3 linked regions of the Ovis aries genome follow. The protein of the gene in region 2 purifies or fractionates together with the protein of the main gene of each other region. This does not show direct contact. Links are inferred from orthologs where the notes say so. Each region holds a gene or a part of one and is shown on either strand. Other genes may lie near its edges.

The links.
Region 1: the proteins of ARHGEF7 (region 2) and PAK2 purify together in Homo sapiens (co-immunoprecipitation; 5 studies listed by BioGRID and IntAct, with this or other methods). This does not show direct contact. The link is inferred for Ovis aries from reciprocal best matches to the Homo sapiens genes ARHGEF7 and PAK2.
Region 3: the proteins of ARHGEF7 (region 2) and GIT2 purify together in Homo sapiens (affinity purification with mass spectrometry; 6 studies listed by BioGRID and IntAct, counting the BioPlex papers as one, with this or other methods). This does not show direct contact. The link is inferred for Ovis aries from reciprocal best matches to the Homo sapiens genes ARHGEF7 and GIT2.

What each region holds. Positions count from the first base shown.
Region 1 is NC_056054.1:192,067,005-192,077,476, reverse strand, and holds the start of PAK2 (serine/threonine-protein kinase PAK 2), read right to left. Parts: upstream 6,014-10,472; 5' UTR 5,708-6,013; intron 1-5,707. UniProt on the Homo sapiens protein: Serine/threonine protein kinase that plays a role in a variety of different signaling pathways including cytoskeleton regulation, cell motility, cell cycle progression, apoptosis or proliferation.
Region 2 is NC_056063.1:84,871,213-84,881,203, reverse strand, and holds part of ARHGEF7 (rho guanine nucleotide exchange factor 7), read right to left. Parts: intron 9,520-9,991; coding exon 9,460-9,519; intron 8,795-9,459; coding exon 8,648-8,794; intron 7,920-8,647; coding exon 7,833-7,919; intron 5,523-7,832; coding exon 5,444-5,522; intron 5,276-5,443; coding exon 5,136-5,275; intron 3,560-5,135; coding exon 3,335-3,559; intron 1,681-3,334; coding exon 1,587-1,680; intron 187-1,586; coding exon 97-186; intron 1-96. UniProt on the Homo sapiens protein: Acts as a RAC1 guanine nucleotide exchange factor (GEF) and can induce membrane ruffling. Functions in cell migration, attachment and cell spreading. Promotes targeting of RAC1 to focal adhesions. May function as a positive regulator of apoptosis.
Region 3 is NC_056070.1:63,467,086-63,477,076, reverse strand, and holds part of GIT2 (ARF GTPase-activating protein GIT2), read right to left. Parts: intron 7,904-9,991; coding exon 7,761-7,903; intron 5,765-7,760; coding exon 5,615-5,764; intron 3,291-5,614; coding exon of another isoform or gene 3,267-3,290; exon of another isoform or gene 2,505-3,266; intron 1,941-2,504; coding exon 1,692-1,940; intron 62-1,691; coding exon 1-61. UniProt on the Homo sapiens protein: GTPase-activating protein for ADP ribosylation factor family members, including ARF1.

The sequences.
Region 1 (10,472 bases), on a different chromosome or scaffold from region 2:
TTGGCCAATAGGAAAATAGTGAAACTAAGGCATAGCTGTACAATAGAACATTAGGCAAACATTAAAAAAATCATTTAAAAAAATAATTTTTAAGGAGAACAGAAGGAAACTGTCAAGATTTAATGTTAAGTTAAAAAAAAATGAAGATAGCAAATTCCACAAAATATGATTCCAAAATTTCAGAAAAGTAAATTATGTACAATTACAAAATATAAAGAAATATCAAAATACTGTATTAACTGCAGTCATTCACAGGCAATATTTGTTGTTTTTTTTTTTAAACTTTATTCTTTTCAAATATTTAATAGGGAAGGTGAAAAAGTTCAGAAAGAATTTACAATAGATAATCTATCAAACACCTGGCTATATTTTTACTATTATATTTGCCAATGTAACTTTTTATTCTTTAATAACCTGATCTTTAGAGAAACTGAAATTGTGTCTAAAAGTTTTACTCCAACTCTTGTTGTTCATGTGGTTATTATGTAACATTTTTGCTTTATAAACCAAATCTCAAAATTAAAAAGCATAGGAATTAATTTTGGGGCACACCATGTGGCTTTTGAGATCTCAGTTCCCCAACCAGGGGAAACACAAAGGAAACACAGAGTCTTGACCACTGGATTGCCAGGGAATCTGAGACTAGGAATTAATTTTTTGAAAGCTGAGATTATACCTTAAAATGTACCTACGAAATAGGGATTAAAATAAAACCTCTATTTTCCCAGAACTTACTAAATATTTACATGAAAAAATATTATCTACAAGATAATAGTGTGATCAGAAACATGTTAGGAAGAACTCAGTAATGTAGGTTAAAAGAGCCCTGAACGCTTATGCATATAGGTACTGCGCTAAGTCGCTTCAGTCGTCTCCGACTCTGTACAACCCTATATGGACTGCAGCCTGCCAGGCTCCTGGGTCCATGGGATTCTCCAGGCAAGAATACCGGAGTGGGTTTCTGTGCGACCCCATGTGGACTGCAGCCCGCCAGGCTCCTCTGTCCATAGGATTCTCCAGGCAAGAATACTAGAGTGGGTTTCTGCGTGACCCAATATGGATGGCAACCCGCCAGGCTCCTCTGACCATGGGATTCTCCAGGGAAGAATACGGGAGTGGGTTGTTGTGCCCTCCTCCAGGGTATCTTCCCAACCCAGGGATCCACCAGAGTCTGTTACCTCTAATCTGAACTGGAGGTGGGTTCTCTACCATTAGCGCCACATGGGAAGCCCGTATGTATATATGTGTTTCAATTTTAACCAAAACTAGAGTTCTTTGCATCTCCTTTTTGATTAGTTTCAATTGACAAAAATTGAGATATAACTCTCCTTTCCAAATGAATAACTCATCCTTTCAGCATACTCCAAAGAAAGATTATGGATCAATGTGTTAAGAAAACATATAAAAGCAATAAGAATATCTAAATCATACCAGAAATCAGGGAAGACTCCCAAAGAAAGCTATACTCAAAAGCTAAAATTTGAAGGCTGAGGATGAATTAGGTAGATGCCAAGAACTAGGAGCCAAAAGAGGGCATTTCCCCCTCCTTTTCAGATGTGATGCTTACAATAAAACTATTAAAATATTCCTCTCTGAATCCTTATCATGTGACAAATTTTTACACCAACCTCAAAGTCCTGAAATATTTTCATACCTATATTTTATTTCAGTAGCCAAACTCTTACCCTACTTTGCACCAAAAAAATAATCTGAAGTATTAAGATTCAAATACAATTATTAAAGTACCAAAAGAAAATATAGAAGATTGTTTTTTGATAAAGGTAAAATGGAAAAGATACTCTTAAAGCATTAATATCTACTATATGTAAAGAGCTTCTGCAATTCAATAAAGAAGTACAGATTAGTATAACCTTTTAGGAAGGCAGTTTGGCATCTATTAAAACTTAAAATGCACACTTAAGAATTCTTTCTATGGAAATACTTCTATACATATGCATGTGCACAAAGATATAAGTTCACTAAAGCTCACTTTTAGTTGCCCAAAAATAACCATAAAGAATTAAGTAAAGTACAAGAAAAGAATAGAATATTGCATGACTATTAAAAACATGAGGTATAACAAGTACTGAGATGGAAAAGAATTTATAACAATTAGATTTTTTTATTAAAAATAAAATTAAGGTAAGATTACACACACACTGTGTTTATTTTTAATTGCATAAAGAAAACAAAATTGCTAACAGTGGGTACCTGTAAGAAATGCGACTAGAAAGTAAGGAAAGTAATTTTCACTTTTTACGCTAAATAACTGACTTGCTTGAATCTTTTGTGATAAGCATGAAGTGACTGCCTTTGAAATTTAATTTTAAAATAAAGGGGAAAAACTCACTATTCTAATCTGTTATAATTATGGTTATCTCTGAGGGCTAAAGTGATTTTTGTATAGTAATTTTTGTCCTGTTTCTTAATAGTTTACTTTCTAAATTTTCTATGAGAAATATGACTATTTTAAAATCTGAGAAATATGTATTAAAAAAACTTATATTTGATTTCATTGATGAAACTTTTTCCCTGAAAAGTAATTTTTTTAACAGTTATGATCTCAAAAACATGGTCCTGAGATTCCAACCACTTTAGAAAGCAGTCTTAAATCTAAGTTTCTAAGTATAACATTTGTTGCAGAAGCAACTAAATATAAAACACAGTTTAGAACAGAATATCAATTAACATTTATTAATCATGTAAGCACAGCATTTGCTAAGTAATTTTCCCTGTATTTCTCATTTGCTCCAAATAGCCTTATGAAATTTGTATTATACTGTTATTATTATTAATCCTCATCTTATAGATTGAAAAAATCAACTCTGAAAAGAATACGTATCTTGTCCAGAGTCAAGTCCAAGAGCTAGGATTCAAACCCAGGTCTCCAGCTCCTAACCACTTTTGATACCTGGAATGACATGAAATGTGGCCTGCATATTTGGACTAACTATTCTTACTCAGGTTAGTGATCCTAAAATGAAGAAGTGGTGACACTCAATTCTTATCACAGAAGAAAATAGTATTTTTTAAGGCAACAGGGGCTATTTTTTTTCTTTATTCTATTTTCTTTTTTTTTTGCATCTTTCTGCTTCTACCAAGGTACAAGAGGTACAAGAAGGATACAAAGGACAACTCAGATTTGCGAGTAACTTAACACCCTCCTTGATTAGTCTGGAATTAGTCCTGTAACTAACTGCAAGAGCGTTTAAAAACAAATTGATCAGAATGCCAAAGTCTTTAGACTTGAAAACAAGGTGCAGTTTCACATTTTAATCAAAAGTAGAAAATTCAGAAAGCCAAAAGAAATGTTATATTCAAATACTAGAATAATCAATATAGACAGATTAAACATAGGAAGAATTTAACAATATCTACCTATTTTATCCCAAGCTATTCCAACAAGATCTCTCTCTTTTAAAAAAGAATAGAGAATTCCCTGCTGGTCGAAGGGTAAAGAATCCACCTGCCAAGGCAGGGGACACAGGTTCCATCCCTGGTCCAGAAAGATTCCACATGCCTCAGGGTAACTATAAGCAGGCGAGCCACAATTACTGAAGCCCCCCATGCTCAACAGAGAAGCCATCCCAATAAGAAGTCTGCGTACCACCTGAACTAGAGAGTAGCCCCCATCACTGAACTAGAGAAAGCCCAACTGCAGCAATGAAGACCCAGCACAGCCAAAAAAAAAAAAAAAAAAAAAAGAATAACTGAATGTTTATCCAGCTACCTGAACAAGTTCCAAGTTTTCTCTTAAAAAAAAAATTATAATTGAAAAGATACATACACCACTGCTAACCATGTCTGCTTGGAAATCTGCCCATCAAAAAGACTAGAGAATCATAGGAACTTCTATTCATTTGTTCAGTAGACAGACTACAATTACAGACTTTATGAATTTGGGTTTGCCAGGTTAGCATTTAATGTCAAAAGTCCAGAAGAATAATTCTGAATAATTGTAAACTGGAAATAGGGCCCTAAGAGAAGCAGAATACGCAGAACTCTTCCTCAGTAGAAGTATCTGCTTATAGAAAGCACTGGCAGAGAAGCTGACATCAACACATCCACTTGCACACTCCAACATTTCTAGACCTAACCCCTTAGGCCAAGACGACCTCTCAATGAATTAAGGACAAACGACGCTACCAAAATGACAGTCCTGAAAACACACTGAATTTAGGTCAACCTCTTTCACCAAAGCCTGAAAGTGGGTTTAAGTCCTACATATGTTACAGGTCAGAAACATTTTAAGGTTCATTTTTCATAATGGAAGTCTGTGTTTCTGGCTAATTAAAACAAGAAAAGATTTTAAAACTAAGGACTTAAGAGTTGCCTTAAATCAATACCCTTAAGAGGAGAACATGAACAAACGTTTCACTTAGATATATATTTTTTCATAGATACATACAAAATATATAGAAGGGATTATGAGTGTGATTTACAAAAGCCACAGAGCTCCTGGAAAAGTTGACAAGTTCTAACCTGCTTTAAAAATTACCATTCACTGTCTTCATCCCAATCTTAACTTTATTTAATGTTATTCTTTTGAATAACCGTACAACAACAAAACCCCCAGAGCAAATTCTTCTACATTTCAATATCCTGCCTACTTGCAAGAGCGGAAGAGTCAAACAGAGCAGGGGAAAAAACGTGACGTGAACAACCTTGATCCAAAACACAGCTCGTGGGAGTCTAATTTTAGGCCTAACCATTTTGATTGTCTTTTTACAGAGGTTGAAAAAGAAAACAAAAAAACACAGATCACTTGTAAAATAAATCTGAGATAACTAAACCAATAGGAGTTGGCATTATTTATCAAGGAGGAAAGAAATCACGTTCGCACTGCCCAGAGTATTCCCATTAAAGATAAGATACAGGGCCGGTAGTACAACCCCACAACTGACGACAACGGCAATTGCTTTCCACTCTTCAGCTCTTGGATGACTCTATCTTTAAAGAATGAGTCAAAAGGTTGAGCCCACTGAGGAATACTCGACAACGTTTTGTGTGTATGTATTGTTTTAAAGAAAGCTAAACATGGTGAAAGCCAACCTTCAGCTAAGTTACCTAAAGAAGCAAATATTCACCTCCCGGCGGAGGATCAAAAGGAATCACGAGAAGACCCGAAAGTTCTGTTTTTAAACGGAGGCTCTCAAACCCTCGGAAAACTATTCGTTTTCTACTGATGCGGAATATGGAAGAGATCACAGATTGCAGTTTAGGAAAGAATGAAGCGGCTTTAGACAATGTGCCTCGGTAAAGAAACTGGGATGACCAGAGAGATAAGGAGGAGCTGGGACTCTGTAAGGGACGAAAAAAATCAAGGACTAAAACCCGAAACGTTTCGTCGAACAGTAAAGTAAATGAAGAAAAGGCGGCTGAAACGCGAGGGAAGGGAGATCAGCAGAAGGCAGAGACGGTGGCCTGCCACCGTCACGGTTCAGGGCAGGGCCGGGTCCAGGAAGAGTTAGATCTCACCAGCCCAGCAAGCTTCCCATTTCAGGCTAGAGCCGGAGAAGAAAACAGCCCGAGGGCGCAGACAATGAGCCACCGCCCCAAGAGTTGCGGCTCCAGGCACGCAGGTGGCGGCTTCCCGGGCCCGCGCGGGGCAGGTCAGCTGCCCCGGGCCGCTCACGCCGGCCAGGCCGCGTAGAAGCGAGGAGGAATGAGAACGACGGCCCGCGTCCCGGCCTGTCTGCACACTTACCCTAGGCGAGGAAAGGTCCCCGCCCCAGCGAGGAGCCTCCGGCCGAGCTCCCGGCGGGCTTCGGAGCCGCCCCGAGCAAGCGCGCGACGCGGGGCGGGGAGGGGAGGGAAGGGGGAAGCGGGGCGGGAAGAGGGGCCGCGCTGGAGCGCAGCCGCTTCTACCGCTAGGCCAGGCGGCAGCCGAGCCCCGCGGGCGCCGGGAGGGGAGGGCAGGGAGCCTTCGGCAATGGCGACGGCCCAGGCCAAAGGGGAAGCGGAACAACCACTGCCGCTGCGCGTGGCCACAACCCTAGGGGAGGGCGACGGCGGGGAGCGGAGAGGGGTGGGACCCAAGCCGGAGCTCCACTGGGCGGAGACCGGCACCACCTCCCAGTGGGAGTTCACGCGGGGCCTGTCGGGAGTTGTAGTTTGGAGATGTGTTCCACGTCTCTCTCCCACGTTCTTTTTTGGGGGGTTATTCTCTATATTGAGAGAGCATTGTCTCCAGTCAGGTGTGCCAACCAAAGACGCTGAAAGACGATTTTTGTTACATGAACCTGCTCCAGGACATCTGTTTCTGAGAATTCATCCACTATCCATTTTGCTTTTTGCCTGTAACTCAATGTATTTTGGTGCTAATTAAGGCCCACCTCCTTGCAAATCAAGGCCTCTATGTTTTATTCACAGAGGAGTTCCGCAATGTTTTCATTCTGTTCAGTTCAGTCGCTCAGTGATGTCTGACACTTTGCAACCCCATGGACTACAGCATGCCAGGCTTCCCTGTCCATCACCAACTCCCGGAGCTTGCTCAAATTCATGTGCATAAAGCTGGTGATGCTGTCCAACCATATCATCCTCTGTCATCCCCTTCTCCTCCTGCCTTCAACCTTTCTCAGCATCAGGGTCTTTTCCAATGAGTCAGTTCTTTGCATCAGGTGGCCAAAGTATTGGGAGTTTCAGCTTCAGCATCACACTTTCCAATGAGTATTCAGGACTGATTTCCTTTGGGATTGACTGGTTTGATCTCCTTGCAATCCAAGGGACTCTCAAGAGTCATCTCTAACACCACAGTTCAAAAGCATCAATTCTTTGGCGCTCAGCTTTCTTTATGGCCCAACTCTCACATCAATACATGACTACTGGAAAAACCATAGCTTTGACTAGATGCCTCAATGTATTCACTCAGTGTCTAATATGTACCAGTCACTCCTGGGTATCAGGGATACAAGAGTGAACATGAGTCACTTTGTCTTTGTGGAACTTCCAAATATAAAAACACAATAATTAAAATAGAATCTGGTATGAGGAAAAAAACTAGGATGATTACTTTGGATAAGGTGGCCAGTGAAAACATCTTTAAGGAGGTGACGTTTAAGAAATGAAAGAGAGAGCCATGAGAAGCTTTCAGGAGCATTACAAGCAGAGGAAGGAAAACAAGAACTCACTAAGGTCAGTTAAAAAGGCCTGTGTAACTGCAGTTTAGTGCAAGAGGAGTAGCGTAGTATGGCAAAACACTAGAGAAGACAAGATTCAGGTCAGGAAGGATATTAAATGACATAGTAATGAGGCTGGACTTTATTCCAAGAAGTTATTAAATAGTTGTAAGCAGGGAAGTGATGTTACCTGGTTTATACTAGACTGCTACATGGAGAATGGAGTTTTGAGATGCAAGAAGACAAAGGAATGAATTAGGGAGGCATTAATCATGACTAGTGCTAGAGTAATAGCAATGGAAATAGATAGAGAAAGCCAAATTGTTCTTGCTGAGACAAAGAGCAAAACAGCTTAATTGATATGAAGAATATGAGAAAAGGGATTCAAGGAGCAATAGGGCACAATATTAGATAACTTGAAAAACATCCCCACTATTAAATATACAAAATGCTGGATAAAATAGAACATCCTTTCAAAGGCATAAGCTCAACCCAATTCAGTTCAGTTCAGTCGCTCAGTTGTGTCTGACTCTTTGCAACCCCATGAACCACAGCACGCCAGGCCTCCCTGCCCATCACCAACTCTCGGAGTCCACCCAGACCCATGTCCATTGAGTTGGTGAGGCCATCCAACCATCTTATCCTCTGTCGTCCCCTTCTCCTCCTGCCCGTAATCCCTCCCAGCATCAGGGTCTATTCCAATGAGTCAGCTCTTTGCATCAGGTGGCCAAAGTACTGGGGTTTCAGCTTTAGCATCAGTCCTTCCAATGAACACCCAGGACTGATCTCCTTTAGGATGTACTGGCTGGATCTCCTTGCAGAACAAGGGACTCTCAAGAGTCTTCTCCAACACCGCAGTTCAAAAGCATCAATTCTTCAGTGCTCAGCATTCTTTATAGCCCTACTCTCACATCCATACATGACCACTGGAAAAACCATAGCCTTGACTAGATGGACCTTAGTTGGCAAAGTAATGTCTCTGCTTTTGAATATGCTATCTAGGTTGGTCATAACTTTTCTTCCAAGGAGTAAGCGTCTTTTAATTTCATGGCTGCAGTCACCATCTGCAGTGATTTTGGAGCCTAGAAAAATAAAGTCTGACACTGTTTCCACTGTTTCCCCATCTATTTGCCATGAAGTGATGGGACCGGATGCCATGATCTGTTTTCTGAATGTTGAGCTTTAAGCCAACTTTTTCACTCTCCTCTTTCACTTTCAAGAGGCCCTTTAGTTCTTCTTCCCTTTCTGCCATAAGGGTGGTGTCATCTGCATATCTGAGGTTATTGATATTCCTCCCAGCAATCTTGATTCCAGCTTGTGCTTCTTCCAGCCCAGCGTTTCTCATGATGTACTCTGCATATAAGTTAAATAAGCAAGTGACAATATACAGGCTTGACGTACTCCATTTCCTATTTGGAACCAGTCTGTTGTTCCATGTCCAGTTCTAACTGTTGCTTCCTGACCTGCATACAGGTTTCTCAAGAGGCAGGTCAGGTGGTCAGGTATTCCCATCTCTTCAGAATTTTCCATAGTTTATTGTGATCCACACAGTCAATAAGGCAGAAATAGATGCTTTTCTGGAACTCTCTTGCTTTTTCAATGATCCAGTGGATGTTGGCAATTTGATCTCTGTGCTCTGTGACAACTTAGAGGGGTGGCATGGGGTGGAAGATGGGAGCAGGGTTCAGGAGGGAGGGAACATGTATATACCTGTGGCTGATTGATGTTTATATGTGGCAGAAGTCAACACAATATTATAAAGCAATCATCCTCCAGTTAAAACAAAGAGAGAGGAATACCTCTGATGGGCTTCCAAACTTCACATTCAACCCAAAGGAGGAGCAAGAAACCAAAGTAGTAACCAAGTCGATGAAGCCTGTTGTGTTGTGTTGTGTTGTGTTGTGTTGTATTGTTGTGTTGAAAAAACCTACTTACCTCAAATCTCTATGGTTTTCTTGGATGCCCAGGAGACAAGAGACCAAAGACAAGGCTATGAGCCTGTAGAAAGATTTGGGACTATAATCTTGCACAAGGCTGGAAAATTCAGAGGACTATACCCTCTGAGAATAGACTAGGAGAAAAAAATCCCCTGTACCAACCCAGGCCAAAATGTGGATATATTTTAACCTGGATTTTGGCATCAAGGGGAAAAAGCTTTCCCTTTAGAATTCATAACCACAAATTTTCACTCACATAGGTCTGAAAGTTCAAATTTATAGTATCTACACTGTCCAGGAAACCTCAAGTCAAGTAAGTCTCCCAGGCTGGTAACACTTGGAGGTCTAGAAGAAACAAACACATATCCTTATTGCACAGGGTCACTCTCAACACAGGACTGAAAGGATTTCCACAAACAGGCTATGAAAAGGTATATATGAACACCCAAAATAAAACTACAATACATCTGAGAAAATAAGCCAGGAATGAATCAGCAGAAACCACAAAGAGAATAATGAAGCTCATGAAGTTTAGATTTTGGAATTATTTATTACTGAATATAACATAAGTTTATTAAAATGATTAAGTAAGACAGGAGCAAGAAACAAGATATTATAAAAAATCACCAAGCAACTTTGAAAAGGAGTCAAGTAAAACTTCTAGAAATAAAAAATATAACTAAAACCAAAGCCAATGTTTGGATTAAATAGTACATTGCACACTGTTAAAGAGAGAATTAATAAACTGGAAGACAGATCTAAAGAAATTACTGATAGCAACCCAAAGAGAAAGGAAATATGAAAGGAAAGTTGAGAGACATGGGGATAGATTGTGGGGCTATACCGTATGCATAATGAGAAAAAGCGAAAAAACAAAAAGAAGCAGTATATGATAAGATGATGGCTTAGAATTTTCCAGAATTGATCAAAGATAAGACCCTTCAGATTCAGGAAGCAAAGTGAATCCCAAACAGGATAAGTAAAGGAAATCTCAAACACATCAAAGTGAAACTGCAGAATACCAAAGATAAAGAACCCAGAAAGAAAAGACATCCCCTGCAAAGAAACAACTATTAAATTTAGCAAGGTTTCGCAACTGCAACAATGTGTGCCATCTGACAACGGAAAAATATTTTCAAACTATCTAAAGAAAGTAACTGAACTTAGAAGTACATACCTCGTTAAACTCTTAGTAACAAAAGTGAGGGTGAAATAAATATATCATCAAGCAAAAACAGAGATATCACAAACCACAGAAATGTTACAAACCAGAGACACCTACTAAAAGGACATCTTAAAAAGATACACTTCAGGAGGAAGGTAATCCCAGAAGTAAGGTGCAAGAAATCAGATAGATAGTTAAAACTACCAATATATCATGGACTAGGACAATCCTCTATATTATTTCACTCTCTCA
Region 2 (9,991 bases):
GCCCAGAGCCTGCACAGGGCCACAGCCGCGTCCTCTGGGGCGTGATTTCAGGCAGAAGGAGCCAGCAGAGTGGCCGTGGGCTCCGGCGACACTTACTTGAGTTGAGCGTCTGCCGCGTCTTGGCGCTGGTGCAGTAAGCCTCGATGACCTTCAGGATCTGGGCGTCCTCCTCCAGCGCAGCCGTGCCTGCGAGGGACACACGGCCGTCACCGCCCGAGTCACCAGCACAGCCAGGCCAGCCACTCAGCCAGCAGTGCTAACGGACGGCCCCTCCCCTGGAATTGGTGCCGGATAAACATTTCTGGATATTCACAGAATAGTTATATTCCAAAGGACGTTTACTTCTATTTTTTATCTACAACATATCTGGCAAAGAGCTAATACCCAAACATATATACACGCACACACACACGTATATACACACACACACATATATATACACACATATCTATATGTCTGTGTGTGTATATATATACTTATACATATATATTGTTTTACTAATCCACAGGAAAAAGAATACCCCCCCATCCTGAACATGAAAAAAGAAGCAGAAACAATTCACAAGAGTCACAGAAGAATGTTCGTCGTCACCAAGAAAAGAAGTCAAAATTAAAACTAGGGATGGCGTTTTCACATATTGCCTGAGAAAATCAGAAACCACGATTCTCCGTGTGGATGCAGGTATCAGAAAGAACTTCCTGCACCCACACGCGGGAGGCAGAGAAGACAGGAGCAGCCCCTGAAAGGCCATTTGACCCTATTTACAAGCGCTTCCCTGACCCACAGATTCCCACCAGAGTTAATCCGGAAATTGACAGAGTGTAGCCCAGAGTGTGCAGGCATGGCTCCAGAGCTTGGCCTGAGCTGGGGCCCCTCCAGACTGGCCTCACCTGCACCAGGGGGCCACCTGGCGGAGGACGGCGCCTGCGGAGCAACAGTGTCTGACGCTGCTGGTGCCGGGCAGCCCTCACACCCCGCGTGCTTCATACAGCTGTATGGTTAATTTCTGCTATTGTTCTAAATTTTTATATATTTTCTAGAATACTCAATATATACTTTTAAAGGCTCAACTAATTTTTTTTAAATGGTTAGAATGAAGGACTGAGCCACTTATAAGCCGTACCAAAAATGTTTGGACAGCATCTCATGATATCAAGATAAGCACACGCAAAGCAGGCCAGGTGCTCCCTCCTAAGAGTCAGCATTACACAGAGGGCTTAGGAGCCACCGAGAAACTGACCTACATGCCACCAACTGGACCAGTCGTGTAACAGGTTTCTGTGAGAACAATGTTTAACTCCCTGCAGGATCCACTGGGAGTCAGTGTCCACAGCGGGGGCACGCTCACAGGGGATGCTGCCAGCGCAGCTGATGCGGCCGGCACTGAGGGGGCTGCACTGCCCCACTCGGACGTCCTCAAGAGCAGACCGGAGGCTGGGCACTGGCTCCCCTCTGCGGTTCTGGAAAGCCCCGTCCCCACCCTCAAGGCCCCGCCTCCTCACCCTTGAGACCGCGCCTCCCCACCCGAGGCCCCGCCTCCCACCCCGCCTCCACCAAGAGCCAGGTGTGTCCTCCCAGGCACTCACTTTTTCTCAGAGCGAACTCCTCGTCCGAGGGCTTCCTCTCTGGCTTGCGCTTGGGCAGCAGCTTCTTCATGGTCTTGGGACTCTTGCTCAGGTCCTGGGGAAGGAGAGGAAAAGGCTGGCAGACCCCAGATCTGGTGGGCAGGCACGGCCGCTGTGGAGGGGGAAGCCGGGACACTCCAGCGCCCGCCCCGCACACGCTGACCGCGCTCTGCCAGCTGCGGAGCGCTGACATCCTGAGGCACAGGCTGTGACGGTCCTCCTCCACCTGGACCCGCCGGCGCCGGGACCACCGGGACCACTCCCTGGGAGGTGCGGCAGCCGGCAGTGCGGAGAAGAGAGGGCAGCGGGCTGACGCCTGTGCAGGGAACCACGTGCGCTGCCCACTCTAGGGCAGACCCCCCTGCTGCAGCCAACCATTAAGACAGGAGGACACTGTCGATTTCTAAATGAAACGTGAGGGAAACAGGGAGAAGGAAAGGGAACAGAATCAGCCCACGGGCAGCACACTGGCGCCCCCTCCGCTGGCAGAGCTATGTTCACAGCCCAGAGACTGTCCCTCCGTCCACAGCACATCTGTACGCTCAGCCGGGCAGAAGAGGAGCAGCAAAAGCAGCCCACGCGGCCGGCAAGGTTCTGACTGTCAAGCACGTACTGAACCCCAGTGTCAGGGAGGCTAACTTCGGCATCACTGAGTCACATTCACCGCCGCTGAACTTCACGAGGCCAGTCCAAGGCTGAGAATGGGACTCAGGCCATGGGAGGGATCAGGCTGACAAGCACCGAAAGAACAGCCTGCGTTCCAAAGGTGTCTCTCCAAAATCTGTGAAAGTGAAAACTTCCAGAGCGCTTGGAAACGCAGCAGATCAGCAGTCCCGAAGAAGTGAAGCAGCAGGCGTCCTGAGGCACAGGGGCGGAGGGACGCCCGGGAGCAGCGCCCGCAGGCGGCGCAGAGCGCCGGCCTTGCCCCAGGACGCCTGCTCCGTGACCAGGCGGCCTGTGTGCCCAGCACACTGGACATGTCCACGGCCACACCCGCCAAGCCTCTCTCTCCTGTACCCTACTCCCCCCTCCCCTGTAAGAACCCGCAGCAGGGCGTGGCTGCACTCCACCACACTGAGCTAAGCAGCGAGGATGCCAAAATGGGCCACCAGGAAGAAACATGTCCTAAGAACCGAAGTTCACTAACAAAACCCATACAGGATTAACTGTAATTTATGTTGTACTCCCCCATGTACCATAAAATTCCTCCAGCAAGGATGGAGGCAGGGTCTGCCCAGGTCCTTCGTCAAATGTGGCCTCTCTGAGATGCAAACTGGTGCAAAAGCGCCTCACCAGGCTCACGAACAGGCCCCGCCCACCAGGCTCATTGTCCCGCCCACCAAGCTCATTGTCCCACCCACCATGCTCACAGCCTCACCCACATCCCACCCAGCCCACCGCCCGAGCCACACCCCCCACACTCATAGCCACAACCACACCAGAGCAACTGAACTCGGCTCACACTCAAGCACGCTCGTGTGATCACCACAGTCGTCAACCGGCTTCCTCAAAGCGCAAACAGTGCCCCGAGCCTGTCCCTCTCCCTGTTATGGGCACAGAGGGGGTCTCCCCAGGACTCTGGGGCTCTGGAGCACAGGAAGGGTAACAAGGGAGAGAAGGCAGAGCCTTCCATTCTGAAGAGGCTCATCGGCTCCATGTCACAGACACAAACACAGGGCTGTCACATTTCCACACTCACTAGGGCTCACCTCCTTGTAGCAGAGGGCAGCCGAGGGCCGCAGAGGGGGTGCTGGTCGCAGGCAGCTCAGGCTCCAGGGCTTAGGGGTCTTCGGAGGCTCCAGGGGCCCCCAGTTGATGGTGGTGTGTGGAGTGCCATGGTGGGAGGGGTGGGGCAGCGTGTGGTAGGCGGGCGTCAGCGGCGCGGGCTTGCTGTCCGCGTGCTTGCTGGACGGGGTGATGGAGTGGGAGGGGAGCTGCCAGGGACAGAGGGAGAGAGCAGAGCGCGTTCACCGCCAGAGGACCCGAGGCCAGCCCAGCCCTCCCAGCACAGCAGCGCCCACTTGCTAGCGTGCATCCTGAATGTCCCGACGCTCAGGTTACTGGCCGTCAGGCCGAGCATCCCCCACACCCTGCGTGAGGCCTGCTGAGCTCAGGGCGGGAAGCAGCAGGTTGCTGGGTCCAGACCCGGAAACCCACTGACCGCCTTTAACTGCGAAGCAGTCACGTTTGCAAAAAAGGCATTTCATTTAACACAGATATCAGGATTTTATAAAAGAATGGGCATTCTCTGCCCTGGGAATGTGACTGGGGGAGCATAATTATTACCTCGCCAGCAAAAGTAGAGCCTGATCCCTGTTTTTGTTAAAAAAAAATTTTTTTTCCTGGGACACAATCAGGCCTATTCGTGTCAATGGTTGCTTTTATATTATAAAAGCAAAATACAATTGCAACAGAGACCATAGTGCTTAAAAACCAAAAAAAAATATTTACTGTGTTTTTGAAGAAAAATTTTACCAATCCCTTGGGTAAAACATTTTCTCAGAAAAATCAGCTTTAATCAAGACCAGGTTACATAAATTTAATTTCTCAGAAGGACCTTATTAATGGGGTTTATGCTCCTAGAAACTCCAAAAGTATTCGATCACAATGACAAATTAGAACTTTAAACAATTCAAAAGTAGCCAGTGACCTCGAATTAACCCAAAACAATACAGTATGCTTAACAGGAAAAAAAGTTGAGTTGTTCTGTGAGCTGGAAACCAGAGTAAGGTCATTATTCAGAAGAAATGAATAATATTTGAAACACAGGCTTAAAGGGGAGCCTGGGCTCAAGCTGAGGCTTAGGGCTCGAGGACAGAAGCAGCGGACTCTGCCATGACCACACAGCTGCCCTGGGACCAGAAAGGCCAGGGTCCTGGCACATGGCTCCCTGAGGTGGGAGTCTGTAGAGGTTGGTTTAAGGCTGTTACCACCTGAGTGAGAAGGGACTCCCTGTGGATGACACACATGTACACACCGATGCCCTTGGGATAAATTTAGTCCCATGAAAGCTAAGTATCTCTAGAATACATTTACAATATGGAAAAGCTGTCATGGCAAAACCATTCAAAATGATAGTTGAAGCAAATGAATAGCTTTTCCCCCAAACTGCTGAGAAATGGAGTAAGAGGCTGCAGCAGTGACCAGTACACCATGCCATGACCACCGTCCCTGGGACGGCCCTTCAAGCCCAAGGGCAGCGACCCCAGGGTGAACCATGTGGGAGAAGTCCCAGGAGAGACCCTCACAAGCCCTGAGGTAGTGTTCGCGGCCCACCCTGGGCAGGGCAGCTGCCTAAGCGGGTGCCGACGGGCGCCTAACCGGTGAACTATGTGCGTGTGTGTGTGTGTGAACTCTCGAGAGGCAGACAGGCAGGCCTGGCTCACAAGTGGGTCCCCGTGAGGCGATCGCGGCCCACGGGGGATGAGGACGCGTCTGCAGAGAGGCCCGAGGCCCAGCGGCGCTCTCCTGGCCCGGGGTCTGCGGGCGGGGGCGGGGCGGGGCCCTTACGGTGTGCGAGGGCACCGAGTGAGGCTTGCTGCTGGGGTTTCCTGCCGAGGCGGCCTTCGTCTGCTTCTGCAGGCGGTCCACCCACTCGTGGAGGTCCTGCTGGTTGTTGCAGGACACCAAGATCCGCTCGATCATGCTGCCTGGAGGAGACAGGCACGGGCTGGAGGGCGTCAGAGCGCACACATGTGCACCCCAAGGAGGCCCCACAGCACGCCCATGCAGCCCTCGGGGGCTCAGCGGGGCCCGCACACGAGGGCCATGGCCTCGGCACCCGGACAGAGGGCACCCACAGAGCCCGCGCCTATCACCTGATATTTCAAACGCGTTCCTGTGATTTTCACTGTCCTCAAGCTTTGTGACTGTCATTCCTGTCGTTGGTAGCTTTCCCTAAAAAAGACCCCCCAACAAAAACAGTCAGTGCTTTTCTAGTAAAGGAGGTACCATTATTAAAGTAAATATTAAACAATTTTAGACAATGCAGAGGAACTGTCTTTGTAAAGCAAACTCTCTTGCTTGTACCAAAGGCATATATAATACAAAAGCCTCTACCTTGAGTAAGAAATTGTAATACTATAACCAAGAAATGAGCCAGCAAAAAGGTACAGGGCTGCAAACCAGAACAAAAACATTTCATCTGATGAGTTACTCTAAATATAAACAGCAAGACACAAAAACATCATACGTGTGATAAAAAAAAAACAACAACGAGGGTCCACGGTGGCTATTTTAAATGATGCTGTTTATAGAAAGGAAGCAGAGATGTGCCTTAGAGAAACACGGGGCGAGTTCCGCATCCAAAGGCAAATACAGGCGACTGGAGCCGGAGGGACTGTGCGAGACTGCGCCTGGCCATCCGCCACCAGACTGTCCGTCAGCAGCTGCGCCAAGCACTGCCCACAACACAGAGAAGAGCACCAGCCCGCCTGCTCTGGGACAGAGGGCGTGAGGCAGGGAGCGGAACCAGAACTGGGCCGTGGAGCGAGCCCCTCGAATAATAGCCACCAGAGCTGTGGAGGCCGAGCGAGTCTGCAGGGAGCGTCTCTCGGGTCAGGGCCAGGGCCCCGAGGAGCAGGGCCCTGAGCAGCAGGGCGGCTCTGAGGCCACAAGGCTCGGACTCCTGACACCCGGGCAGAGGCCAGGCGCCGAGAGCACCACACGGGCCCGGCCACCTCCGCAGCCCCACAGGCCTCATCCGGTCCACGGGCAGTGGGGCCCGCGCGCAGGAGCCTGTCCTGCAGCCGGGCATGGGCACTGCAGACGCCCTGCCGAGGGGCCCACGGCACTGGGCTGACCAAGAGCTCGGAGAAGCCTGACGGGAAACACAGCTGCGTGTCCCCGACTAACCTGCAGCAACAGCTGCGGAGGCCGGGACGAGCTCGCGGTGGCCGGATGTGGGGCGAAGCCGGAAGTGAACACTGACCCGCGAGCACTGGGGGTCTCAGCACTCAGAGAGAAGCCCCCGAGACAGCACGCCCGGGGGAAGCAGGGCCCGGTGGCGGCACGCTGACGCCAGCACCCTGGGGCCTGAGGCCGCTCCGGACGCCCCTGCAGCCCCACAGGTCACCGCAGGGCCCTGGGCCTTGGGGTGGGGGGAGCTTCGAAGCCAGGGTACATGGCCGAGAAGGACAGAGCTCACTTAGAGCAGCAGCGGCCAGCTTGGGGAGGTGCTCAACCGCAGGCTTACAGATTGGGAGGCGGTCCTTTCCTGGGCTGGCCCGTGTCAATCTGCTTTCTCATGCCTAAAGCGCTCCTTTCGGAACAAGTGCGTGATGTCAACTCCTCTCTGGGCTGTTAAGCTTTCGGAGCAGGTACAAGCCTGCCGTGAACGCTCTGGACTCAGGACCCAGCAGAGCGCTTGTTGGGGATAAGACAAATAGCGTGCCACCCGTGCAAAAATGCAACTCTGAGCAAACCCAGGGTGATTTCTGTGGGAATGGTTCCTGGTGACCAGGCCTTGAGGAATTGATGGAAGGGCTGCAGCTTCAATAACCACACAGGAACAAAGCAGTCAACTTTGCCAGAAGCCCCTACTAGACACACAGAAAACCTAAGGCACTTATCAGCTTCCCTGGAGGCTCAGACGGTCAAGAGGCCGCCGGCACCGCGGGAGACCTGGGCTCATCCCCGGGTTGGGCAGGTCCCTGGAGGAGGGCAGGGCAGCACCTCACGTGACAGACAGAAACGGAAGGGCTCTGCCCTTGCATCTCTTCTTAAAGCAGCCTCACATCCTCGCGGAGAAAATCAGGAAAGTGACGAGCAATAAAGAAGCTAAATAACACGCCAGGCGTGTGCCCGTGACTGCTGAGTCCAGTGGGGGCCCACAGACCACCTCAGCCACACGTGCCCCCCCAAGCCGGCCCGTGGAGCAGCCGCCTGCCCTGGTGGCAGGAAAGCGGCAGAGCGCCCTGGAGGCGGCCAGCTGGCCAGCGCCCCAGCACTCTGGGTCCTCAGGGTCAGCTGCACAGAGGCCAGGCCCCTTCTCCGCTTGCTCCGGATGAGCAGGAAGATCCTAGCTTCACAGTCACGTCAGCACACACACACTGGGGCTGTGCGCACAGATGCGAATATGACACTGTACGTACAACACTGTACCCAGCACACGACAGACACACGCAGCATCAACACGAAAACTCCAAAGGAGCCTGAAAACGGCGCTCAGGCCCACAATAAACAAATCTAAATTTAAAATGTGTTTACCTGATATATGAAGCCACTCATCCTAGGACTGGCAGACAACATTAGCAAAATATTCGGAAAGAGTAGAAGATATCTTTCATTCTTTTCCTAATGTAAAAGAACAAATTCAAGTAACTATATTAAAAACACATATTTACACATTCACAATGGTGAGAACAAATATTCACGTTCGGCCTTATGAAAGAGCATATCACACTTCATGTCTAGGTGTTTCTTTCTACCAAATTTAAATTAAACGGGAACAAAATTATGAGAAATTCGTTAAGACTCACAAGTACCCATGGAACACCTTTTTTAAAAATCTGAGTTTAGCTCTGCCATTAACTCCTCATTAGGCAGGAGTTAGAAAAACAGATTTTTTCTGTGGTTGAGAGAAAATAGAAGAAAAGAACTTGTGACCTTTCAGTGGCAGAGGGAGACCAGGCAGACCCTTCAGGTTGAAGGCAGGGAGGGTAGAGGCGGGAGACTGCCTCTGGTCCGCGGCGGATCCTGGCACTAACCAACCTGGAGCCCAACACGCCTGCTGCTGCCACCCCCCGTGAGCTCTGCCCAATTTACACGGAAAGCTGACGAGCACTGCTTATGTATTAAACCTCATTTGCCGCGACCGGTTAAGAAGAGCCCCAGAAAGACCACAGGTGAAGCCCAAAGATGCCCAGGAATCTAAAAGGCGACTCATGGGAGAGACACCACCCACAGCAGTGAAGGGACTCAGGGGAGCCGTGGCCCCGGCAGGGGAAGCCAGCCAGGCGCAGGGGCCCTGGAGAGAGGTTTCCCCACGGTAAAAGAAGTGCAGGGAACGCTGAAGGCAGTACCTCGCTGCCAGCACACTGGATCAGGACCTGGGACATGTAGACAACGCTGCCCAGGGTCTTGATGTCGTCACCCTCCCAGCTGCGGATGGCCTCCGTCAGGATCTGCAGCTCCAGCTCCTTCCTCTTCCGCACCTCCTGACACTGGGCCTGGGGGGGCACAGGAGGCGCGTCAGGGGAGACAGGCTCTACTGCTGCGGCCCCGGCTGCTTCTGCAGACAGACACTAGTGAACAACTCGCTCATTCATGAGTACAGAATCAAGTCAAGAGAGACCTGCAACAACACAACAGCTCTAGAATGAGAAATACTAGCTGAGAAAAATATAGCAAATCCTGTCACTTTTAGAAGATGGAATGTGGACTGGACAAGAAAACCATCCTCTGATTTTACTAGTGAGCGCCCGAAGAGGAGACCTGGAAGAGGGGAAAAGGGTGAGTTCCGCCCGTGCTATAAGTAAGGCACGCACTCCAGAGACTCAGGTACTGAGACAGCACAACAGCAGGTAAGGGAGAAGCCCAGCACTCCTTTCACGCGCCAGTCAAGATGCTGAGATGAGACTGCAGACATGGTCCAGATCACTGACGTGTGCGGCAGCATTACGCAGCGCCGTGTAAGCGCAGACACTGATCCTTTCACCTCTCTGGTGTCCACAGTGCCGTAACATAGGAAAGTTTACCAGCCGTGGAATAACTACATTATTTATTTTTTATTTCTCCAGAATAAATCCAAATTATAGTTCACAACTAATTTCCTGTATTCATTTGCCACAATAATGTCTGAAGGAAAAAAACCGTAACACGCTCTATCACTTACTGAAAGGTTTTTGAAGGCGGTCATGGATTTCTGAATATCTTGTCTGTCTGGGTGATAATCCTTTGAATAAAAGAAACACACTGTGAGCTTCCATAATGAGCACTTGCCCTTCAGCAGGCTCTCTCTGGAGGCTGGCTTGGGCCTGCCCCTCTGTCTCGGCGCTGAAGCACCTCTGCTTAGCCTCTGAGGGGACCGTGGAGCGGTGAACAGTCTTCTGGACTCTTCCCTGGAGGAGGAGGCCAGCCCAGCCTCGCCCACCACCGCCCACCCCCACCACCGCTGCTCAGCACCAAAGGGCAGAGGAGAGCGACGCAGCGGCAGAGGGCCTGCCCCTGGGGAGTGGCTCACCACAGCCTAACTAAGCCAGCAGCCTGAGCCCCAACCCCTGCCGGGCCCACAGCCTGAGTTCTGAAAAGGAGATAAGTGCACACCATCCGCTGACTCTCTTCCTATTATCTCTCCATAACTCATACACTTAACACTGTAGGCACAGGCTCCTGATGGGACCCCTCCACACCACGGACATTTTCCA
Region 3 (9,991 bases), on a different chromosome or scaffold from region 2:
ACAGTGTGGAGGGGAAGGAAGGCAGAGATGAAGAGGAGGTCACAAACGCACTCCTCCCGATCTGGAAGGGGAAAAAGAGACACACTCGGGAAAACACAAAACAAACATGAAACCCTGCCACCCACCCTGGCTTCGCCTGGGTTCCCAGTTAAAAGACACCTAAGGAGCAACTCACTACATGGGATCAGTGCTGAAACGCCCACGCTAGCCAATGAGATCCCCAGAGATGTTTAATCCCTCAGTGAAATAAATGCCTCTCGGAAATTACTCAGAATCTGTAAGGCTACTTTTCTATGAGGGAAAAGACAATACCTAGCATAATCTGTCAACAGTGCCAATGGTTTTTTTTTTTTAATAGTCTTAAACAAATACTCGTTTTTTTAATCAGGACAGATGATATGAAATGAAAATCTATACAAATGATTTAAAGTTGGTTTATGTATATCAGATACAGTACAGATATAGAACTTTTAAAATAATAAGACATTTTTACATTTTAAATGTTTTTAAAATCAAAAAGTACACTGTGAAAATGAACAAAGTGGCTTTTCCTAAATTTTGTTCTCAGTTATACAAAAATAAGATTCTTAACTTAGTTCAATGGCATTCCCATTACACCAAATGTGTTGAATCAATTGTTTTAGAATGTTTAGCCCAAACAACTTTAAAAGCTGAAGCAGCAGATTCCCAATTAAAAAATAACAACACTGTAATTTTATCACACTAAACCTTGACAAAATTGAATAGGGTATAATTTCCCAGGCCATGTTCTTTACTATTGACCCTGAGAACTTTTTTTGGAAATTCCTATAAAAGTGGACTGAAGAACAACTGACATTCCAAAAGGTAAGTATTACTCTCCGAAAAAATAAAATCACGTAGGTTCAAAATGCAGAAAACATTTTGTCAAAACATAGGTTTTTAAAATAAATTAATCCAAAAGATATATAATTTGAAAACCTCGCAACACAATACTTATTCCATGGGAAAAACAAGAGTGTTAGCAGCCTGTTACAGAATACCATCTCTGGAACATAAAGCAGGTAAAGTTGATATAGGAGTTTTTACATCTCGTTCTCATGAAATGAAAAAGCAACACTTTCTCCCAACAAGGGAGGAAGAGGAGGCAGCAGCTAAGCCAGCAGACTGACCACAGGTGCAGGGCTGCTGAGGCCCACAGGCTTCCCGACCAGGCCTGCACCCCCAGGCCACAGACGCCACCTGCTCCACTCAGAAGAGTGGAGAAGGCACTCTGAATTCTAAGGGCTCTGGTGCATAAGTGGGCACACACCCGCCTACCTGGAAGAAGACGGTACTTTCTTCCCGTGGTAACCTTTATAAAGTTTTGGTTTTGGATATGGGGAAGGAAGTTCATGACCAAAAAAGTTCCAACAGTGGCCTCTCGGGAAATATACTATGGATACGGGGCAGAAAAAGGGGGAGAGGGGGCCGAGCAAGAGCCAGAATCCCCAGAGCTGCTGGGACACCTTCGGCCATGGGCCCTGAGTGCTTGTGGAGTGCTTGTGGGAACACCACAAGCACTGGTCGACATGTTAATACAGCAAACACAAGGACGGTTCTCATAGCCCCATTTGGCAAAGCGGAGACTGGGGATCTGCAAGCTGAGAAGAGGGAAGGCAGGGGTCAGGCTGGACAGAGTAAAGAGCGGAAGCACTGGTGGTATTACTTACGTGCGCCGGGAATGGCTGGAGTCTCGTCCTGCTTTCTTCGGGATGGTTCACTTCTCCCACTGGGAGATAGGGTTTCTGACCTGATCCCGTCTCGTACATGGACATGGGCCTACTGCCCCGGGCAGACGGACGTCGCTTTAAGGAGGAGTGGTTGGAAGTGTCTGTGTATTCAGAACCAGTTTGCACCTGATATATATTGGTTGTGGCCTGTTTCCTGAGGTTCGAATTTTCACTCTGGAGTGTTTGAAGCTGAAAGACATGTTTGGCAGTGGGACTGTGTTTTTCTATAGCAAGCAGAAAAAGCAAACACCAAGTAAACGCGTACAACTACCAGCTTTAACAATAAGAACAGTAACAGCTTGCTGAGCTGAAAGTCAAAGGCAACCACAAAGACAAACTCTTTCTTCTAGAATGAGTGAAATGCAGTCAACTCACTTAATCAGTTAAGCAAATGAAATCATTTCTGACTGTGGAAAAGTTGCAGTTTGGACTTTTTTAAAGCAAAATTTCTCACAGCTTAAAGACTGGTCACGGTGGCCCTGAAATTTGTCTGCAGGCAGGCTGTGCCCTGGCTGGTTCTAAGGCTGTTTCAAGCAAGAGCTTGAGATCATTAAGACATCATTTAAGTAACCTGCTTTTCAGATGTGCCCTGAGCAATTTAGAAATGCCAAAAATGTCAGCAGACACCATGGAAGCAGCACAAAGATAACTTAGAGTTGCTTTGCAAAGCGAGAAAGACAGTGAAATCCAGTTTACGAAAAAAAAAAAAAAAATCAGATGAGCTATTGCTGCCCAAAAAGCCAACAGGAAAAATTAAGATCAACAAGTTTTTATTATATAATATATTCTTTGAAATTCCAAACAACTGAGTTTTGTTTTGTTTTGTTTTTCTTAAAGGGAGGGAACCGGATCATGGTAAGTTTGCTCTATAAACATATCACGAAGAGAACCGGAGGCCTACTGAACTATCAACATCTTCATCTGAACGCTCCACTGGCGCGCGCCGCCCTCTGGTGATCAGTCATCTTTCAGCCGGGGCCGGAAGACCTGGCCTCGCTCTCCTTTGGCTCTGTCGCCCAGAAATGTGACCGTGGTGGTGTCAGCTTTAAACATGCTAAGCTGCCTGGCACCACCCTGTTTTAGTTAGAGGCTGGCACTTGGAGGCCCTGAACGCTCTTCCCATTGCTCACATGCAGGCTGCTTCATGGTGCTGGATGAATTAGAGTTACAGGGATCAGCAAGGAATCGGGCTCCTCTTTAGCCATCTGGCATGTTACACACAAGTAACTGAGTCCAGGCTGTACAACGTCCTTCCCCTCTGGTGCTCCTCCATCCTCCAGAGCATTTTATAAGCTGGGTGTGGTGTGAGTTCAGCTGTCTACTCCTTGAGAGAGAGTAAAAATCTGACCAAATTCCCCACCAGGGCCAAGGCTTAAGTCCACAAGCAACTGTGTCTGCACCAGAAGATCATTTTTTCCAATAGCCAACCCATTCAGTGTTAGGAGTTACTTTCAATTTCTATTTTAGAAAGCACCGCTCTGTGACAAATACACCAATAGTGGCTGCTCCTCTTCATTAATTAGCATCTTTTCCAAGCAACTGTTAAATGTGAAAGATCAGACACAAATCATGCTACTTTGTTGACTACTATATTAAAAAACTTTACCTGACTTTGAAATAAAATCAACGTTTCTTCACTGAATAAACAAGTTCCACATACTTTATACCAGTAGTGCCAAACGCCTGTGAAAGTCTGACTTACTGTCTTTGCCACAGAAATACCCTTGTTTTCTATTTTCTCAAAGCATGACCCCTGAGAAATGAGAGGATGCTTCTACACCTATGCTTCAGGCCATAACTTGTATCTGCAAACAGCTGCAAAGTAATAAGCATCTACTGAAAAGTCCTACATTCCAGGAGACAGACAGGCATAAAGTGCCTGTCAAAACTACTTCCTAGGGAACCCATGTTCTAAAGTGAAATGGTCGAGGGCCAAAAAGTGAGGAACATGACTGACACACGGCCCTCAGTGAAGGATGGGGGGATCTCGTCAAGTGCTTATCTATGTGGAAACCTCCTAGAGGATTTTAGACAAGGTCTTGAAATCTGAAACTTCATCTTCACACTTTTCACTGTAGAACATCCAGTCTGGATCTCACCTCAATGTGCGAGATCTCAGCTGGTCTCAACTTTAAAAAGTTTTAGTACTCTGAATTTACCGAGATGTCCTTGGATAAACCTGAATGATGCTTATCTTAATAAGAACCAGGCTATACTTTTTCTGTTTGGAAGGAGTACAACAGGAAATGAAAAGTTACAGATAATAGTTTCAGAAATCGAGAGCATTTTCTAAGAATCAAGGAGATAATCCATCAATGATGACAAGTAATTCCACTCAACATTTCTTAAACAAGCTCGAGACATTTGCTTTCAGAGATTCAAGGTTATCTCTGGTGATTTCTACAAATACTAAAAGGAGCATAACGGAATAAAAATGGTAATGCTTAGCAGACTGATTTGCAGTGGCAAAGTCAGCTTGTTTCAGAAAAAGTCACCCCAAACCCATCTATTAGTTCAACTAATGAGATAAACTATAATTCATTAAATAAAAGAAATTTCAGAGAAGAGAGAAGTGCAAGCCCTGTACATTATGGCAAAAGGGCACTTGGTCTGTCTCATTCATGGCTGCACACCAGCATTAGACAGGGCCAGGGTGGCAGAGAACAAATGTCTGATTAAAATCTGATTGATCTTCAGGTATTCTTATCCCTTTCTATTACAGGTGTTGAAGCCATCTATCTCAAAATGTCTCCAAAAAATGATCTAGACTCAAAAAGAATCCTGGACCAAGCCCTAGGTGAGGGTGCACTGCCGTGTCCTTTCCTGACAAGCAGAGGCGCGTGGGCCCCTTAGTTCTTCAGCCTTCCTTCAGGAAGCACCGCTGAAAAGGGCCCGGCCACAAACAAGGTGCGCCATGTCCTCTGGTGGTGGTAACGATTCTGAAGCGTTATTCTTCAAGTGATAGCAGGAAGACACAGATACATACTTTGTTTTGTTTCTGGTTAAGGGAAGCATGTGTGCATCTCGTTTTGTAGAGCACTGAATGGTGGGAGCAGGGCCGACAAAGTCTAGGGCAGAAGTCAGAGTTTTTCTACCTCCTCTTCTTAGCATTCTTATAAAGAATGACATACATAATCCTCTCTTCAACATATTCTTTGCTACCATTAGCCACACGCTTTTTAGAGATCAGTATGTTCACGTATTTCTGACTCTCTCAAAAGGTGGCAAACAAGCAAATGCTGAGCAAATGGGATTGTCTCTTACCAGCATACAGTTCTCGCTTGTGTGCATGAAAGGTTTTCTTATATTGAGTATCTATTCTGTGACTCTGAGGACATCATAAATGAGCAGTAGGAACTGGCCAACAGTGGAGTGGGACTGTGCGACAGGGCTGCCAGGGCGGGGTGGGTAACAACACATAAGAGTGAGCAGGGAGAGCAGCCATGTGTGGTATGGGGGCGCTCTGAAATGCTGGTAGACACACACCCTGTCCCGGGCTTTGGTCTGCTCTGTCTCACGGGGTGATTAGAATGAGCAATAAACAGTAAGAATCACACCCCTGGAGCTGTGTCTAGCTTCCCAGGAAACACAGGACGCTTGCAAGGGTCTCTAAAACTGATATGAATACTTACTTAATAGGTTATGATGTTCTCCTACCTGGGCAACTTAAACTGGATTTATATCTAATCAAAGCTACTTCGTTGAAAATATCCATAATTCATACTGCTTCCAAAGAGACAGCTTGGCCCAAAGATTTTCAGGTCTGTTTTTCTTCCCTCTGATCACAAGCATCATGCCTGGGATTCTTCCTTATATACTATGGGGTTAAAGAGCAACCATCCTGGCATTTATTGACATGTTACCTTTTTCTGCATAATTCTCAGCTCGTCACTCAAGTTGTTATTCACCTTCATTAGCTGTTGTATCTTGGCCTCAGAAGCCACTAGAGCGTTTTTGACCTCCAAAAATTCCTGCACAGTGACTGGTCCATCTGATAAATCTGAATCTAGGCTCTAAAAATAAATTGGGGAAAACGTTCACAATCTGAGACGATGATAACATTCAAGACTAACAGCTCAAGAATTTAAAATTCTGACTGTGCCAGCTGGATCGCAAAGTTAATCAAACCAAATCAAGGCTTCTGAGAGGAATACAAAAATAAAACAGAAAGGTAGGGCTCCTACAACAGATGAAAAATTTTCAAGTCAGTATTTTCTGGCGATCAGAGAGTGGGGCCACAAATCTACTCTAACAGTGACTCTGAACACCTGTCTCATCTGCCTTTCTCTTGTTCATTCATTTTTCTTTTTTGATTCATTATTTCACTCATTCTGACAGATTTTTACTAAGCATCAGGCAGTGTTCTAGGGGCTTAGGTTACATAAGAAAAGAAAATAGAAAAAGATTCCTGCTTCCATGGTGTTTACATCCCAACTGAGTGAGAGAGGGAGAAAAATAATAATAAATAACTACATAGTATAGGGGAATGTGATAAGTGCTATGGAAAATAAACAGAACAGAGGAGGAGTGAGGGGCTGGGGAGCTGAAAGAGAGGTGGACGTGGGTGCATTTTAACTAGACAGCTGGGTGGGGGGACATGAGCAACAGCCTGCAGGAGGGGAGGTCACTAGTCAGGTGGCTGTCTGGAGGACAGCGCTCCAGCCTGTGGTAGGACTCAGCTAGAGGGCGTGGGTGTGCAAGGCCCAGAGGAGGGGGAGGCTAGCCAGTGCAGGGACCCTGTCGTGCAGGGTCCAGTCAAGACCCGCCTTCACTCGACTGAACTCAGCACTTCCGGGGAGACTGGCGGAGATGTTTCAGATGGGACAGCTGACTCTTGCCATCCCCTCCATGTTCCCTGCATCTGCCGGTGGCACCACTGACCCGCACAGCTGTGTAAGCTGGAAAACTCCGGACACAACTCGGGTAAATCTACCTTCCCACTTCCAATGTCTAACTTGTCCCCAAGCCCTGCCTTTTCTGTCTTCCTGTTTGCCCATTCTCAAGTGTTTGCTGAGCCCCCTGTGGGCCAGGTCAGGGATATTCAGCGGTAGGCAGGCCAGCCAGGCCCCTGCTGCCCTGGCCTCGGGCTCACTCTCTGCAACGGTGACTTTTGTTTTCCATCCAGACCCTCCCAGCTGAAGAGGCCCTGAGGTGAGCCTGCGTCAGCTCTTGTTTGGACCTTGTCGGCACCTCCCTGCCTGGGTTCCTCTCCTCCGCTCCTGACCCACCAGAACGGTCCTCCCCAAACAGAGGACCCAACAAGGTGGACATGGTGTTCCCGCCCTGCCTAAAAGCTTCCTGGGCTCTGCGCTGCCAGCCAAGGTCTCAGCTCTTCAGTCTGGGGTCACGCTCCTGCACGGTGTGATCCCCGCCCTCTGCCGCAGCTCAGACTCCCTCTCCTTTCAGGCTGCCTCTCCACGTGACCAGACGTCCCCCAGATGCCTGTCTCACCTCCGCTCAGTCTGACCCCTCCCTGCCTTTCCACGTGCCCACGTCCCGGGCCTTCTCAGCCTCCCCTGACACTCCCTGTCAGTGACAGGCTGTGTCTGTGGATCGCCTGCTCCCACCCCTCCGCTCCTGTCTGCACTTATGACCCTCGAACCGCGGTTCCCTCTCCTCTTGGTGAGGACGGCCTCACAGAGGAAAGAGACCAGCCCTCATTCAGGAGAGTATTATCCAGAGAAGTTTGGGTAATACCCAACAAAAGTAAACATTTGTTGAAAGAGTAAAACCCACCCGTCCCTCCTCATAGGTTTTATAAAGTTAATACTGCAGCCGGGCTGTGAGTCAGCAACTGACTCAGGGGCAAGGGACCCCCTATTTTAAAACTTTAAAATATTTACCTTGTTGACCTTTGCTTGGGCCAAACTAGTAGAAAACCCAATTTTACCTCCAGAGCACTTTTCCCAGGCCTAGCCCTCGAATGCTTTACAAATCAGGCAAATTTTTAGGAGGAAAGATCTGAAAAAGAACATAAGCTCACTTTCTGTGTGCAATGCACCACCTTACCTTTTGCCTGTGGGCCTTGCTTGCAGTGGCTTCCGGATCCGTGTCTTCGTCTGACGCCACACTGTCGTAGTCTGGCTGGTCATTGTCCTGACTCTCAACACTGTGCTGGTTACTAATTGTTTTCAGTATCAGTTCTACATTGTCTGTCAACAGAAGCAAATAACTTTACTTCAGGCTTGAAAAGAACTTCTTTTTTCCTAAAAGAAAAATGAGCCATTTAAAAGACTGGAAGAAAAATGACAGAAATAGCAAGGTTCTATTCACCCCCAAAAGGGATAACAGAGCACGTTATCAACCGGACAGAGTCTACTGAAAACTATAGAGAGAGTGAAGCAACCATCTGAGATACCTGCCAAAAATGGGCACGAATTAGATGGCTAGGGAAGAGCTGCTCATGTAAGGTGGCAGGTTCCCAAATCTGTAATCATTCAAGGAAACAGTATAGCTCGAAATCACGAAAATAAAGCTGTAACTAAAGTACGATTAACTGTAATTCAGTTACAATTGTAACTCTTTTACAGGATTTAACATCAAGTCAAAACAGAAAGAAAACTGCTAAAGTAAGCCTAGAAACTAGGAGACCACTGAATAGGCACGTTGGCCTTTCCTTAACTGAACGCCAGGGAGAAAGAGAGAGAAAGAAAATGACCCACTGGATACAGACCATGCAGACCAAGAGCATATGGTTACTGGGAAGTAGCGATGGTTCTATCAGCTCTGACACATTATGAATGAAAGATTTCGCAAATTATCCAAGTCTCTCATCTCTCTTTCAGGCAACTCAAGCAAACCTCAAATTTCCAACACTGTTTATGGAAATTTTGAAGGATAATATCTGGGTGATAAATTATGTTTACTCAAAGGGAATTTTAGTTTTCAAAATGAATATGTAATATATATATATACCATCAGATTACAGAAGTAGTAAGGACTCAATATAGAAAAATTGAAACTAATGATAAGAGTAGTCATTCATAGCTATTGATACATGTCATTCTATTTTCTGCCAGTCTTTTCCCAAGCATATACAAATACAGACAGTAAATTTTACTATTTGTAGCAGTCACGGTCTATAAAGTTGCTGTGAAGAACAAATCAGCAAATACTGAACCACTGTTCTGAGTGGAAATACAGTTAGGTTCCTGCAAACATCTGGTCACATTTTTGTCAACTGATAAATACATAACCTTGTTTCACATGCGTTTCTGTTTAAAGACATCTTGAATATATATCATTGATCCATCAACATTGAACTCATGGTTAACAGCACTGTAACTCAGGCCTGAACAAAGCTAATCTAACACATGTATTTTCTGTAAGACATGTCACCGCCTTCGTGTGCTCAGGAATGCTATACAGCTCTTCAGCACTGTACTTGGGGACCACTTTAAACAGTGAAATTATCAAAAAATGTGAAAAACTGTGGCACTAAATAAATATCAAAAAGGCTACCTGCTTACAGTATAAGAGCTGAAATAAAAGGAAGAGCATGGCCTTGCTCAGTCTCACATGGGAACATGTGTTTTGGGTGACTCAAATTTTTTACCACACTGTACAGATCCACAAATTACCATCAAAGTGCTGTAAGATTTTAAGGTAATAATTTTTAATTTATTTATCTTTTTGCTGCCCCATGAAACTTGCAGAAATCTTAGTTCCCCAACCAAGGATTGAACCTGCTCCCTTGGCAGTTAAAGCCCAGAGTTCTAACCACTGGGCTGCCAGGGAATTCTCAAGGTAATAAATGAATTTTAATGAACAGGTGAACTGGCAAATATGAGATCTGGGAGTAATGGGGATAAATAAAGATATTCATTTGTACATATGCATGTACATAAATGTTTTCCTTACAAAATTGGGATGATACTAAAGCTTCTTCAAAAAATTAATTATTTTATATTACATCATTCCGTAGTCCCTGAAAAAAGTGTGCCCTATTCAAATATGAAACTAAAAATTGCTCTATTATTGTTTCCAGTGTAATATGTATCACACAGACAACATCTCTAATTCTCCTCAACTAACACCTAGAGATGGACCCACCAAGTCAAAGGAAGTTGTACATTTTGAGACTTCAAATTTATGAATGGACCCTTATCACTGTACCTTCACCAAAATTTAATCGAGTTTCTTAGAACTTGTTTATGTCTGGTTGAGTCAGTAAAATCAAGAAGGACAAATGGCTGTCAGTTAATGATTACTGTCTTTGAGGATAAGATGCTGACTGAAAA